Struthio camelus: one gene and its partner. The protein of the gene in region 1 interacts with the protein of each later gene in a pairwise test. Links are inferred from orthologs where the notes say so. Each region holds a gene or a part of one and is shown on either strand. Other genes may lie near its edges.

Region 1 (7,646 bases):
ACACCTGGCTTCTTTGGGAAGCAGCAAGACCTGTGATTCAGGGTCTCCTTTCTGACGTTCACGGCATTGCTGTCCATGCCACACGCTTCCTTGCCCGAGGTCGTCAACCCGAACCTACCTCTGGGAAGCTCTTAGAAATCCCAGGGCAATAATCGGCGTGCTTAGGGCTAACGTCAGGTACCAAGGTTTGATCCTAGGGGAGCTACTGCACAAGCAACGGCTCCTCTTCCAGATTCGAGCTACCAAGAGATTCAGATAGGCAGGGAGAGCCGGCCTCAGCCGCAGGCAGTTTGCATCTATTCTGTCAGACGGAATTAATAAGAAAACATCATTCCACAGGCTAGTTTCAACCTCAGCTGCACCTGCCAGTGAAAATACCTACATTGGGCAGACCCCGTTCTTACCCTTGAGCGGTACAGTCTGCCAGCTGGGAGAAGACAGGCCAGAAATCCCTCTGGATTTGGAAGCCAGGTCTCTGGTTTCCCAGCCGGGAGCAGCAAACGATGTCCCTCCGAACCCAGCCGGGACTCCCCGGCTGCATCCCACCGCGGCTCTTTGCATCCAGAGGGTTCCCGCAACGGTTCCTCCTCTGGCTCTCCCTAGAAACATCCCAGCGCCTTACGCCGCCGCTCACGTTTCCCCGCGCGCGAGCCCAACGCGCTTCCATCCGGTATCGCCAGGGGATCGGCGCGGCGCTGCTTGCTCGATACCTGCAGCTCGTCCGGCGTTGCTCACGCGACCGTTTCGGAGGAACGGCCTCAGCTCCGGAGTGATTTGCTTAGGGACGACTCCACAGAAGGGTCGCACGCAGGACACGACCTTCACGACAGCGAGAACCCAAAGCTTAAAACCTGCAAAATTTCCCGGCCAGCGGCCCTGCTAGCGAAGACGTGACTCCCCAAGATATACGGGGGAGCCATATGATCCCAGATGCCCGCCTGCAGGACGGCGGCAGCCCTCGCTACACCATGCGCGCCCGGTTGGCGGGTTTGCTCCTGACCCTGCTGCCAGTTAGAGCGCTTGCAATTTTAACAGCAAAATTAATGTTTCGGACAAGAAATTTGTGTTGACTCAAATGCTGATTTCACGCACCGCCCGCCCTCCCTTCCCGCAGCCATGAAAGCGCACAGATTGTTTCTTCAAATACGTCAGACGATCCGTCAGTTAAAAAGGGTTGATAGTCTGGGCTGATTATGCCGGGATTTTAACCTGTAAGCGCAGGTAGCGCGTTCCTCACCTGCACCGCCGCGGCATCCGCTGCGGCGCATCCACGCTACCGCTCGCCCAAGGGGACCAACACCCAGCAGAGAGCTCCAATTACCTGGAGAACCTACATACCACGCTAACGAGGAGTGCCAAATACAATCTGCACCCTCCGGCTGAGCAGGGGTTTTAAGACAGCTAAGCGAGATCCATGTTGGCCTTAAAAGGGAGTGGCTCGGCCCTGCATCGCTCGAGCCGACAGCAAAAGATCACGACGGTTTTAGGAGCCCCCCCAGCCTCGGCAACGAATCGCAGCGCCGTCCGGATTGGCGCTGCCGCAAGCGGCCGCCGGCACCACCGCTGCGGCGCACCGAGCGCCCTGCGCTAGGCTTCATAAATAACCCAGAGGGCACGGGCTCCGCTGCCGGTTTGGAGAGTGCCCAGATCCTTGCAAAAAATAATAATTAAAAAAAAAAAAGGAAATAAATAAATAAATAAATAAATAAAATAAATCACAGCCTCCTACCCAAGCCGGGGTGGGGGGGGGGGAACGGCTGACGCCTTATCTGCGCCGCAGGAGCGCCAGGGACCTTACCGGCTCCTTCCCGCGGGGTTTTATTTCTCACCTCCCTCTTCCTCTGCGGGTAAACGCCGCTCTGCGGAGACCCTCCGCCCCCCCCCCCCCGGGGGGGGGAAAGGCTCTAGCCCAAAGGCGGTGGGTGGCCCTCGGTAAGCCCCCCCCCGGCGCCCGGAAGCCGAGCACCTGCTAGCACGGTGCCGGTGTGCCCGGGCGAGCCGGGAGCCGAGCTGTGCCAGAAGGAAAACAGCTACGGAAAAGGGACGACGTTATACGATCAATCCCCCCCCCCCGCTAAGAAAACCAAAAGGAAAAATAATAATAAAAAAACCCACCCTCTTACGGGTCAGGCAGCGATTTGAAAGCACAGAAAGGAGAAAAAACCCCGAAAAGCGGATAGCAAAGGGGACAAACGGGAGCAAAGCCGAGCTGGCGGGTCTGCGCGGAGATTTCCCCCCCCCCCCCCCCAAATCTCCCCGCTTTACGGCGGGTCCGAAGGATAATGAACAAATAGGGATTCCTCCGAGGACAGGCGAGTTTTTCCGGCCGGCCGCCCAGGCCTGGCGCTGGGTTTCGGGCCCCCCTCGGCTGCCCGGCCTGGAGCCGCCGGGCGAGTAGGCCCCGCTGCGGTGGAAATACAGGAAGTTGGACGGCTGGAAAAGGGGGGGGAAAAAAAAAAAAAAAGAAAAAGAAAAAAAAGAGAGAGAGAAAGAAAAAAAAAAAAAGCAACCCAAGACAGGGAGCGGACTGGCTGCAGCCAGTCTAAAGGGGGACAAAAAAAAAGGGGGGGGGGGGAAATGCAATTGGAAAAAAAAAAAAAGAAATTAAAAAAATAATGCATGTAATCCCCCCCCCTCCAACCCAGCCGCCCCCCCCCCAGGCCTGTGGGGCAGCGCAGCCCCAGCGCCCCCCCCCCCCTCCACCACCAGCCCCACGGCGGGTTTTTGGTGTGGAGCAGGGCTCCCCCTCCCACGTCGAGGGGAGGGGGGGGTGTTTGAGGGGTGGTTTGGGGAGGGGGGGTGTCCCCCCCCCCTAAAACCACACACACACTTTCCGGCGGGACCTACCTGTCGAGGGCCGTCTGGGGAGGCCTCACGCTCATGGTTCCTGCGCCGGCCCCCGGCGTGTCCCCGAGGCCGGGGGGCAGCCGCCCCCTCTCCGAAAAAACAACCCCCCCCCCTCCCCTTTCCTCCCGGCCACCAAAAAGAAAAAAATTAATAATAATCAAACTGAAAAAAAATAATAAAAAGCAACCAACCCACCCACCCTCCCTCCCCCCCCCCCCGCGGCGCGGTGCCTCGGCGGCGCTCAGGAGCCGGGCGGCCGCGGGTCCATCTTGAGCCGCCGCCGCCGCCCCTCAGCCCGGCCGCCCCGCGGGCGACATCCTGCCTGCGGCGGCTCCGCGCCGCGCTCTCCGCGCCGGCCCCGGCGGCCGGACCCGCACGGCGGCGGCAGCAGGAGGAGGAGGAGGAGGAGGAGGAAGGGGGGGAGAAGGGAGGCAGCGAGGCGGCGCGCAGCCCCCCCCCTCCTCCTCCTCCTCCTCCTCCCTCTCCCCCGCCTCCGCCGCGCCCCGGCTGACAGCCGCCGCCGAGAGGCCCCGCCGCCGCCGGGCTGCCCTCACCCCGGCCCCGGCCCCGGCCCCGGCCTAGCCCCGCTCCCGATCCCCGGCCTCGCCCGGCCCCGCCGCCGCCGACCGGGGGGGCAGCAGGCAGGGCCGGTGTGGGGCGGCCGGGCTGGGGGGGGGGCCCGCACAGGGCCCCGGTATGGGGGGACGTATAGACAGAGGCTGGGTGTGGGGGGACGTATAGACAGAGCCCTGGTATGGGGGGACGTATAGACAGAGGCTGGGTGTGGGGGGACCCAGACAGGGCCTGGGTGTGGGGGGATGTATAGATAGAGCCCCGGTATGGGGGGACGTATAGACAGAGGCTGGGTGTGGGGGGATGTATAGATAGAGCCCCGGTATGGGGGGGCGTATAGACAGAGGCTGGGTGTGGGGGGACGTATAGACAGAGCCCCGGTATGGGGGGACCTATAGACAGAGGCTGGGTGTGGGGGGACCCAGACAGGGCCTGGGTATGGGGAGACCTATAGACAGAGCTCCGGTATGGGGGGACGTATAGACAGAGGCTGGGTGTGGGGGGACGTATAGACAGAGGCTGGGTGTGGGGGGACCCAGACAGGGCCTGGGTGTGGGGGGACGTATAGACAGAGCCCTGGTATGGGGGGACGTATAGACAGAGGCTGGGTGTGGGGGGACCCACACAGGGCCTGGGTATGGGGGGATGTATAGACAGAGGCTGGGTGTGGGGGGACCCAGACAGGGCCTGGGTATGGGGGGACCTATAGACAGAGCCCCGGTATGGGGGGACGTATAGACAGAGGCTGGGTGGGGGGGGCTGTATAGATAGAGCCCCGGTTTGGGGGGACCTATAGACAGAGCCCTGGTATGGGGGGACGTATAGACAGAGGCTGGGTGTGGGGGGACCCAGACAGGGCCTGGGTGTGGGGGGACGTATAGACAGAGCCCCGGTATGGGGGGACGTATAGACAGAGGCTGGGTGTGGGGGGACCCAGACAGGGCCTGGGTGTGGGGGGATGTATAGATAGAGCCCCGGTATGGGGGGGCCTATAGACAGAGCCCGGGTATGGGGGGATGTATAGACAGAGGCTGGGTATGGGGGGACCCAGACAGGGCCTGGGTGTGGGGGGACGTATAGACAGAGCCCCAGTATGGGGGGACGTATAGACAGAGGCTGGATGTGGGGGGACCCAGACAGGGCCTGGGTGTGGGGGGATGTATAGACAGAGCCCCGGTATGGGGGGACATATAGACACGGTCTGGGTGTGGGGGGACTCACATAGGGCCTGGGTGTGGGGGGACCTATAGACACAGGCTGGGTGTGGGGAGACCCACACAGGGCCCCGGTATGGGGGGACATATAGACACAGGCTGGGTATGAGGGGACCTATAGACACAGACTGGGTGTGGGGGGACCTACACACAGCCCGGGTATGGGGGGACGTATAGACACAGGCTGGGTATGGGGGAACGCACACATGGCCCTGGTATGGGGGCATCTATAGACAGAGCCCAGCTGTGGGGAAACCCACACAAGGGCCGGGTATGGGAGGCACGTATAGACAGAGCCCCGGTATGGGGACACACACACAAGGGCTGGGTATGGAGGCTCGTATAGAGTCCAGGTATGGGGGGACGGACACACAGCCTGAGTATGAGGGGATGTATAGACAGAGCCTGGCTATGGGGGGACCTATAGAAACAGGCTGGGTGTGGAGGGATGCACACACGGCCTGGGTATGGGGGAAAGTATAGCCACAGCTCGGCTATGGGGGGACCCACACATGACCCAGGTATGGGGGGGCATATAGGCACAGGCTGGGTATGGGGGGACGTATAGATACAGCCCGGGTATGGGGGGACATGTAGGCACAGGCTGGGTATGGGGGGACCGACACACGGCCTGGCATTGGGGGGATGTATAGACAGAACCCAGCTATAGGGGGACCCACACATGGCCCGGGTATGGGAGGACATATAGACAGAGCCTGGCTATGGGGGAACCCACACACAGCTCGGTTATGGGGGGACGTATAGACAGAGCCCAGCTATGGGGTGACCCACACATGGCCCAGTATGAGGAGATGTATAGACAGAGCCTCAGTATGGGAGGACCCATACACAGCCCGGGTATGGGGGGACATATAGACAGAGCCTGAATATGGGGGGACCGACACACTGTCTGGGTATGGGGGGCCGTATAGACAGAGCCTGGCTATGGGGGGACCCACACACAGCTCGGGTATGGGGGACCTATAGACACAGGCTGGGTATGGGAGAAAGTATAGCCACAGCTCGGCTATGGGGGGACCCACACATGACCCAGGTATGAGGGGATATATAGGCACAGGCTGGGTATGGGGGGACATATAGATACAGCCTGGGTATAGGAGGACCCACACATGACCTGGGTATGGGGGGACATATAGACCCAGGCTGAGTACAGGGGACATATAGACACAAGCTGGGTATGGGGGGATGTATAGACAGCGCCCGGCTCTGGGGGCGCTGCCCTCCCCGCTCTCCGGGGGGGCCGAGCAGCTCGGTGCCCCCCTGCTCCCGCCGCCGCACCGAAACCCCCCGGATCCCTGCACCCCCAGGCCCAGCGGTGCCCCCGCTCCTCCCGAGGGTCCCCTGCGGACCCCCACCGCCCCCGAAACTCCTCAGCCCCCCTCCTTTTTATTCCCGCCCCGACGCGCCGGTGAGGGGCTGCGGCCTCCGGCCGCCCCGGCGGTAGCCTTCCTCCCCGTCCCGCTTCTCCTCTTCCTCACCGAGAGCCCCGGGCGTCGCAGCCGGGGGGGCACCCAAGGGACCCCCCCCCACACCCACCCGCCCGCCCTTGCCCCGCGCCATGGGGGACGCGCTGCCCTTCTCCTCCCTCCCGCCCCGCTCCGGCTTCGGCCTCGCCTGCGCCCCGGCCTCCCTCCCTCCCGACCGCAGCCGCTGGGTGCTGCTGTGCGACCGGCGGCGGAGCAGCACCCGCCGACCGCCGCCGCCACCCCGGCGCGGCTCCCCGGCCCTCCTCCCGGGTCCACCCAAGGCCGCCGTCACCCTCTCGTCGGAAAGGGGCGCGTGGCAAACGCCCCGGGGCAGGCCGGCCACCGGTGCCACCGCTGTCCCCACCTCGGCTCTCCGGGCAGCTGGAGGCATCCGCGGATGCACCCACCTGGCGGGATGCACCCAATGCCCAAGGGGAGGCACCCAATGCCGAGGGGGATGCACCCGGTGCCTTGGGGTGACGCACCTAGCGCCTGGGGGGTGCACCCAGTGCCTGGGGGGGGGTGCACCCAACACATTGGGGGGATGCACCCAACACATTGGGGGGAGGTACCCAGCGCCCAGGGGGATGCACCCAACACGTTGGGGGGAGGCACCCAGTGCCCGAGGGGATGCACCCACCTGGGGAGAGGCACCCAGTGCCCAGGGGGATGCACCCAGTGCCTGGGGAGATGCACCCAACACGTTGGGGGGAGGCACCCAGAGCCTGGGTGGATGCACCCAACACACTGGGGGAATGCACCCAATGCCTGGGGGGGATGCCCCCCCGGGGGGATGTACCCAGTGCCCAGGGGCATGCACCCAGAGCCTGGGGGGATGCACCCACCTGGTGAGATGCACCCGATGCCTGGGGAGATGCACCCAACACATTGGGGAGATGCACCCAGTGCCCAGGGGGATGCACCCACCATGTTGGGGGGATGAACCCAGTGCCTTGGGGTGATGCACCCAGTGCCTGGAGGGGTGCACCCAGCACATTGAGGGGAGGCACCCAACACATTGGGGGGAGGCACCCAGTGCCTGGGGAGATGCACCCAACACATTGGGGGGATGCACCCAGTGCCTGAGGAGATGCACCCAACACATTGGGGGACGCACCCAGTGCCTGGGGAGATGCACCCAACACATTGGGGGGATGCACCCAGTGCCCAGGGGGATGCACCCAATTCTTGGAGGGATGCACCCAACATGCTGGGGGGATGAACCCAGTGCCCAGGGGATGCACCCAACACGTTGGGGGGAGGCACCCAGAGCCTGGGCGGATGCACCCAACACACTGGGGGAATGCACCCAATGCCTGGGGGGGATGCCCCCCCCCCCCAGGGGGATGCACCCAGAGCCTGGGAGGATGCACCCACCTGGTGAGATGCACCCAGCACGTTGGGGAGATGCACCCAACACGTTGGGGAGATGCACCCAGTGCCCGGGGGGATGCACCCAGCACCTTGGGGCGATGCCGTGCTGCTGCGGGGCCTCCCAGCCGCCGTCCCTCCGGGGGACCGGCGC
Region 2 (7,654 bases), on another chromosome or scaffold:
ACCCCAGCCCGACGGGGGTCAACAGCCCAGCTCCCCTGCCAGGGCTGAGTTGGGCCCGGGGTCTCCAGCTCAGTCTTTGAAGGGTGAGACTCAGCCAGAAGTCACGGGCACTTTCCCCACCCTCCCGTTCAGGTGTCAGACACAAGTCTCGGCACTCCTGGGGGCTGTTTGCTCCTTCGTGCTGGCGCCCCAGCAGCTGAGGCCATGCTGTGCGTGGGAGAAAGGGAGGCCAAGATGAGTCCCTCTTCTGGGGGACTGGCGGGAGGCAGGAGGCGGAGGTGGGCCTCTCTTGCTCTCTAGGATTTTCTCCTCTCCGTGGGGGAAAGTGCCCGTGCCATTGCCTCCTCGTCTCTTACGTGCCAAAGGGGCTTGTGCTGGGCCAACCCCCCCCAGGGGGACGCTCTCCCTTTTCAGCCTGGGTTCGGTTCTGGGAGCCCGCAGCCTCCCTGGGCCCAAGAGAGAAGCGCCTCCGAGCTCCCGTGCCACAGGCAAAACAGTTTGGAGTCAGGGAATTTTATCCAGCTTAATTTACTGCCCACCAACACAAAGCTCTGACTATCGATTCCCATATGGAGAAAAAGAAGGACGCAAACCCCTTTACACAGGGTCAGGAACTTTTCCTGAGTCAAGGGAGGAAGTCTTTCCTCCTGCATGGAGAAAATAATTTCCTCATGTGAGGAGGGAAGCCTCTCGCTTCTTCTGCCCCTCCCCAAGCCTCCACAGAGAGCAGTGATGAGAGAGCTCCTAAAGTAATGTATTAAGGATGCTCTGACATCTGGGAATACAAGGACAATCAAAATTTTCTGTACACAAAAAGTGCTATTTTAATCATTTTAAAAGACCTGAAGTTGTTTTTTAGCCACTTAAGTTTTTCTTAGGTTATCGCCATGACCACAAGGCAACAACCTTACTTTCTAAAGGCTGGTAATCAATCATCTGGTTGTTTATCTGCCCATCAGCCCCCCATAAAAACGTCACAAGATATTGGCTGGTTGCAATCAAATGAATGAAAGAGGTAGAAGTCTCAAAGATAATTAAGTTCCCAGGGGGTTGTGAATATCAGTGACTACAGACTCAAATTAGTTTTCCAAAAGAGAGAAAGGCAGGAAGAACTCAGCTGCTGTCTGGCAGCAGCCAGTGGCCACCTAGGTGCAGGCAGGCCACCAACACGCACGTGGCTCGGCACCAGCAAGCACTGCCTCGCACCAACCTAGAAGAGATGTCACACAGAGCATGAAAGAGAGAAGGGAAGGAAAGGTTATAGCGGTGAGTGAGTCAGCCAGGAACCCACAGGAATCCGGGCTTCATTAGTTCTGTTGTTCGCGGAACAAGGTGCTTTTAATAATGACAGCTGGAAATTCTGATCTTTTTATAGGCCTCAAAGGTCTTGGCCATAGGAATGATACTGCACATTACCCTGCCTTAGCTAAAATTGTGAGAATTGACAGAGCTGGGAAAGGAAGCAGGAACAACGCACAAACATTGTCTGAGATATGAAAGATATTAATAGGCAGAGAAAAAAACAGAAGGGCATGCATAGCAATGAGTAGGTGATAACAAGGTGAGGAGAGAAAGAGGGAGCGGGGAAGGAGGAAATAAATAGGAAATTGAAATCTGGACCAGAGTCCTATTCACAGGCAGTTCCATTATCTCTGTCCCTACAATGGAAAGCAACAGAAGAAGGCTTTCACCCTTAATCAGCACACTGCGCATGTGGAAGTGCAGAGTGACAGTTAAGATCTTTGAGATTCTAGGAAGCTGTTAATCACTCTATCATTTACTTGTTGCTCTTTTCCAAGCAACTGTGTGTTTACGATTTTTTTTTTTTGATGAGTAGGGTGATAAGGAGTGGGGGAACAATCCTTTAATAGCAAATAGCAGTTTTTGATGTGCAGCTGTTTATCTGAGTTCACTGGGGAGTTATCTCTCTGTATCACATACTTTGCATTTAGGGAACTGAGCAAGCTGCATGCTTGCTGAATGCCTTGCTACACTTAGAGAAGGATGATGTGCTGGCTCCAAGGCAATGAAGGACCCATGGGAGGCAGAATAGCATCTTGTGAACACTTTGCACCTTCGTAGGCAGGCCGCATGCTGGATGACGTTGCACTGATTCATTTCAGCCTAGGATAACAAAAGTTATCCTGCATATGTTTGGGTCCCAGCTGAGGGGAACAAGGGCTGATATGCCATGCTTTAGCACACCCACACATGCCTAGCAGAAAGGCAACTTATGGAGACTTAGCAGAGCAGATAGATAGCTACCCTAGGATGGGATACTATATGGCCATCTTGAGCTCTAGTTAACTTTACAGTCCCTGTCACAGTAGGCAAGGTCAAACGCACCACAGGTAATTAGGAGATGAAGATTCAGCATGGCCTCACTTCACCAGCTCCTCTTCTGAATTAAATGAACTGTCACCATTGCTGTGTCTGTGTGTGTCTGTCTAGAAACCTAGAAAGGTTTCTAAAGAAATGGCTGTCATGAGGCCACAGCAACAGGAGCCAGAGGGAAGCATTCCAGCCGGAGGAAGCCATGTGGAGTGGCAGGGGGGTTAGGCTTAGAGCTGGGGCACCCACCATGAGGCAGCAGCAGTGTGGCAAGCAGTGTCGTCCTGGTCAGTGGCCACTGGATGGAGCAGGTGTGGGCCCAGTACTGGGCGCACCCCTCACTGTAGGGTGAGCAGGTCAAGAGCTCTGGAGCAGGACGGGTGGGGGGTGACAAATGCCAGAGCCACCAGCAAAAGCCCCTGGGACAGAGCATGCCCGGAGGCAGGGATTCACAGGCTGGAGCATAGGGAGAGATGCCTGGCCGGTAAGTCCAGGGCATTCTGCCAAAAGTTTGGGCTCAATCTGGCTATATGCCCAGAAGTTGAAAAAGCAGCCTGGAAAGTGAGGTCCTACTGAGCCCATTAGCAGCCTGTGAGCTCCTCTGTCCTGGATCCCTCCCAGAGCTTGCAGGACAGGACTAACCCAATTTTCCTAAGGAAGTCTCATCTCCCTTCTCTTCAAGTTCCCCTTCTTTCCTGATGAAACTTAACAGGTGGGGGGGATCCAGTTTTTCTGTCCCAGAATGCGAAAATACTCCAGAACTATGCCAGAGCAGTTCTTTCTCACTGTGCGGTGAGAAAGACTTCCTTACCCTGTCAGGTAAAGAGCAGGAAAAAAGCCAAAGAAGGATGAGGGCCTGCTCCTGGAGGTCAGCAAAAAGCGTGGAGCAGGTTCATGAAACCTGAACCAGTAGAAAGTCTGCCTCCTAAAGGCAAAACCCAACAAAACACCACATAATGTTTGAACGGCTCTAGCCTGCAGTTAGAGGGAGGCTGCACTTTCATGGAGAAGGCCTGAAAGCCACATTTAACATCTCATTGAAGAGCCTGTCACTTTTTACTCTTGCCCAGGCTTCTGAGCTGATTTTTATTTATTTGGAGTTTGTTTTTGTTCTGAGAAACAGGGACAATTTTTCTGAGAAACAGGGACAATTTTTCAGGAACTTGCAGGTGCCATTTGAGAACTGTGGCTTTCTGACTCTCTCTCTTATCACTTCAGTGAGAAGCCTAACACACAGATTGTTTGACAGAACTGTACTCGAAGTGCCAACAGCAGCTTAATTAAATACTCTTTGCCGCATTGCTGGTCCATGTTTGAGGGACAGAAAGCTCTAAAGCCTAAACAATTTGCCGAAAGGCCACTTGAGCCATTCTTCTAAAATATCCCCCTTTTTAAAAGGTAATCCCTATGTTAATTATAGTCAAGACAAATGGGATATCTAAATGTGGAGATCATGTGGTTTTGCACACAGGTGGGGTAGAAAGCTCCAGTTTGCACATTCCTGGAGGAAAAGGAGAAATTTGCACATTCTCTAGTAGCAGTGTGCTTGAGAAGGGGAAAAAAGACCTTTGGAAACAGAGATTATAGGAAGAGTTTAACCGAAAAGGATACACGCTGTACTATTTTAAGTTCACTAACAATTGTGCCGGGGATGTATTTTGGGCTCCTCAACGACAGGACAAGGTATGCAGCAGGAGAGGCGAACTCGGGAGCCCTGGAGTTCCTGTCTCGCTGCTCAGAGGAGGAGGAGGAGGAGGAGGAGGAGGAGGAGGAGGAGGAGGAGGAGGAGTGGAAATGGGTCTGTTCTACTCAGGAGCTTCGCCAAACCACCACCGGAGCAGGCGACGTACCCCAACGCCTTTAACTACGGAAAAACACAGAGACCCTTTCCAAGCGGTCTCCGCTGCCCGGGCCGCCCTGCCCCGCCGGAAAGCGCCGCGCAGGCCGGGGCCGGCCCGTTTCGGCGCCGTCGCTGCGCTCCGCGCCAGCAGCGCGGACGAGGGTTACGCGGAGGCGCAGGGAAGAGGCGGCGGGGCAGGGCAGGGCAAAGCAGCCCGGCGCGGCGGGGCTGCACTGCGCTCCGCGACGCGGCGGGGAGGAGGGCCGCCCCCCCCGCCCCCTCCGCGCTCGGGGCTCCGCGGGAGCGCTCGGCCCCTCCGCGGCCGCGCCGCCTCTGCCCGGCCGGCGGGCAAAACAATGCGGAGACGGGAAGGGAGAGAAAGTGCGGCTCGTTCCTCCTCCTGGCGCTGTCTGGTTTTCGCTGCAGGAGACAGCGCGGCAAGCGGATCCTGACCAGGGGCAGGGGGTGGAGAGAGGCGGAGGAGGAGGACGGAGGGAGGGAGGGAAGGAGGGACGAACGGGAGCCTCTCTCCTTCCCTGGGCTGTTTTTTTCAGTTTCCTGTCTCGCATTGTGCTCACAGCGGATATGTGCTGCGCCTACAGGTGTGTCCCCTCCTCGCAGCTTTTCTCTGGCTCCCCGGCGTAGGCTCGGGCTGTCGGGGGGCGGCGGCGGCGGATCGCGATCGTCATGTGATGAGTGATTTCTCTCGGGGCGGTTTCTCTCTCCTCTCTCTCTCTCTCTCTCTTCCTCCCCTTCCTCTCTCCCTCTCTCCTCCTTCCTCTCGGAGGACTCGAGCGCGGCTGCTGCTGTGGCCGGGGCATGGGCAGCGGCCGGGGGCTGCCGTAGCGCCGGGCGCCTCGGCCGAGCGCGCTGCCGCCGCCCGCTCCGCGCTGCCCTGCGCGGCCGGACCCGCGGGGCGCGGCGCGGCCGCTCCGCCTGGCCGGCTCCGACGGTCCGCGCCCGCGGGGAGCGCTCCTGCCGGCGCCGACACCTGTTGAAGGTAACGCGGCCCCCTCCCTGCGGCTGCGCGCGGCGGGCCGGGGCCGCGGGGTGGCTTGCGCGGCTCCGTCCCTCCTCTTCTCCGCGCCGCCAGGCTGCTGAGCCGCGGGTCGAGCCGCTCCCCCTCCTCGGTGGCCGCGGAGCGGCCGCGGGGCAGGGCGGAGCGGGGACGGCGCGGACGGGGCTTTCCTCCGCGCCCCATATGGCTTTGATTAACCCGCGGCTCCGCACTTCGAGCGCGGTTCCTAACCAGCCGCGCAGCGCTGGGAGGAGGCGCGGCTCTGCCCCGCGGCTGCGCGGCGGCTCCGCGGGCGGCTCCTCCCCCGGGAGCGGGGGCGTCGGTGCCCGGCGGGGCTCGGTCCCCTCGGCTGCAGCGCGGCCCCGGCCGTGCAGCCCCGTTGCTGCTCTCGGGAGCTTCATGCCCGCCGCATCCCGGCGGGGTGGCGAGCCCCGCTCTGCGGCTCGCCCGGTCCGCGCGGGCTCTGGCTCAGGCACGAAGTTGGGCTTTCCTGCAAATGCCTTTTGTCTCTCTAGACAGGCAACGCAACTTTAAACTTTCTTTCCAAGCTGTCGATTAGCTATACTGTACTTTGCTCGTGTTTGGTGCAGGCGAATGGCACTGCGAGGCCAGAGCGCTCGTGACTCAAAGCGTAGTTATTCGAGAGCTGCAAAACACCTCTGCCCTCCTCTGCCTGCCTGGGCTGTACCTGCGACTTTGTGACTTTATCTTCTCTGAGGTTGCGTCAGTCTCTGTGACACCCTAAAACAGAAAGGGTTGGAGGGAATTGTCTGGGTCCTTGAGAGTTAGTCAGACACTTGTGTGAAGATACAAAAACGAGCTGTAAGTTTATTGTGCCTCTGCAGTCTCGCGATCGGTAGCATTGCCTTTGTGGTCTGTGTATTACGATGCTACAGACCTATCCTGACTGCTGAGCTCCGGTCAGAGAATGAAAACTTGCTTGTGAGGGAACTTAATGCTTTTGTAACTAATATTGTTACCTTGAATGTGAGGGTTGTTTAACTTACTGAACACCAGAGGGAACTCTGAATAGGTAATTCATTCAAGAGAGATATGTGCTTATTTTATTATTTATGTCTTCAATACAATGGAATCTAAAAGGAAGCTACGGACAGTAAGTAATAGGTTGCTAGCTACAATTGGCCTGAGCTTTCTTTGCAGTTTCTTTAAGGTTATCAGACTCAAAGCTGGACTGAAAATTCTTTCCTTCCCTTTCAGCATGTGAAATACATCACTGGCCCTGCAGGAGCAGGGCTGTGTACCATGCCCTACACAAAACAGCTGGGTGACCCATTAGCTGTGAGCTAGGGAGCATGATTGTGTGTATGTGTTGGGCCGTCCCTTAACGCTCTGCTTGCCTCTTGGCTTGTGAGACAGGATTTTGTACACTTGGTATGGGACTGCTGGCTGGAGTGGGAAAGCCAGAGCAGAGCATGCTTCCAGCCAAAACAAAAGGGAGGAAGTCTGCTTCCGAGGCTCTAGTGGCTTCACCTCATTGCTTTTAAATATTTGTGGTTCTGAAGCCCTGGTGGGAACCTAATATGATTGAATGTGAACTGGAAAATCATCTCCACTAGAAAATATTATTCAAACCAGTACAGTAAGTAAGTGATGGCAGTGTTTGGAAAAAGACTTTGAATGGAGAATTCTGATGATAAAAGCTGTGTAGCAGATCTTTTTAAATGATCTGATATGACTGGAAGAAGCTGATATCAGCCTACCAAAAGGTGATGCTGTACTCTAATAAAATAAACCTCAAAACACTCACCTGAAGCTTTCAATGCCCTTGATAATCTATTACAGTTTGGGTGGGGGGAGGGAGGAGACATCCAGACCTCTCTGATACTCCAGGTTTTTAAATATGGGAAGGATAACATAATAAAAACACTCATGACTCTGAGTTATGTTCCAGTAGCTGAATCATCCAGCTGTTCATCCTGTCCCTTTGCCAGAGGTTACTTTGCCATTCAGCTACGTTTGCTATTGGAGTTTGAATCCACTTTTCAGCTGCCAGAGTTTACAGCCTGGCATGTTATTGTAAACTGTATTTTATGGCTGTTCACGTTAGCACATAATGTTGTAAAGTCCAGTAGCATGAACATCCTGTTTGTCCCTCTCTTCTGGCAGAGAGACAAGGAAAACAGCTGGGGTCAGCTAAATCCAGCTGCAATCGTGAATTGAAGCCCTCAAGCACCTATCTTTTTTTGAAATGGCGTTTTCCTAGCAAATGTTAGTGGTGACTGAAATGAACTACCTCTGTATTGATGAGTATGGAGAGTGGGGAGGCAGCTCTGCACAAGAAGCGATTGTATAACATTCCTGATGGTTTCATCATAGCAACCAATTTTCTGTGTTTCGGAGGAGTGTAGCAAGCAGTCCACCTGAGCAATCTCCCCCCCCCCCCCCCCCGAAGCATTCTGGGAGTTAACAAGTGAACAATATGTTTTTTCTTTTAGCCAAGCCTT

Evidence for each region.
Region 2: the proteins of ARHGEF11 (region 1) and PLXNB2 interact in a two-hybrid assay, tested with the Homo sapiens proteins (2 studies listed by BioGRID). The link is inferred for Struthio camelus from reciprocal best matches to the Homo sapiens genes ARHGEF11 and PLXNB2.

The regions. Positions count from the first base shown.
Region 1 is NC_090971.1:3,416,562-3,424,207, reverse strand, and holds the start of ARHGEF11 (rho guanine nucleotide exchange factor 11), read right to left. Parts: upstream 3,012-7,646; 5' UTR 2,883-3,011; coding exon 2,848-2,882; intron 1-2,847. UniProt on the Homo sapiens protein: May play a role in the regulation of RhoA GTPase by guanine nucleotide-binding alpha-12 (GNA12) and alpha-13 (GNA13). Acts as guanine nucleotide exchange factor (GEF) for RhoA GTPase and may act as GTPase-activating protein (GAP) for GNA12 and GNA13.
Region 2 is NC_090942.1:23,249,695-23,257,348, reverse strand, and holds the start of PLXNB2 (plexin-B2), read left to right. Parts: upstream 1-4,651; 5' UTR 4,652-4,773; intron 4,774-7,654.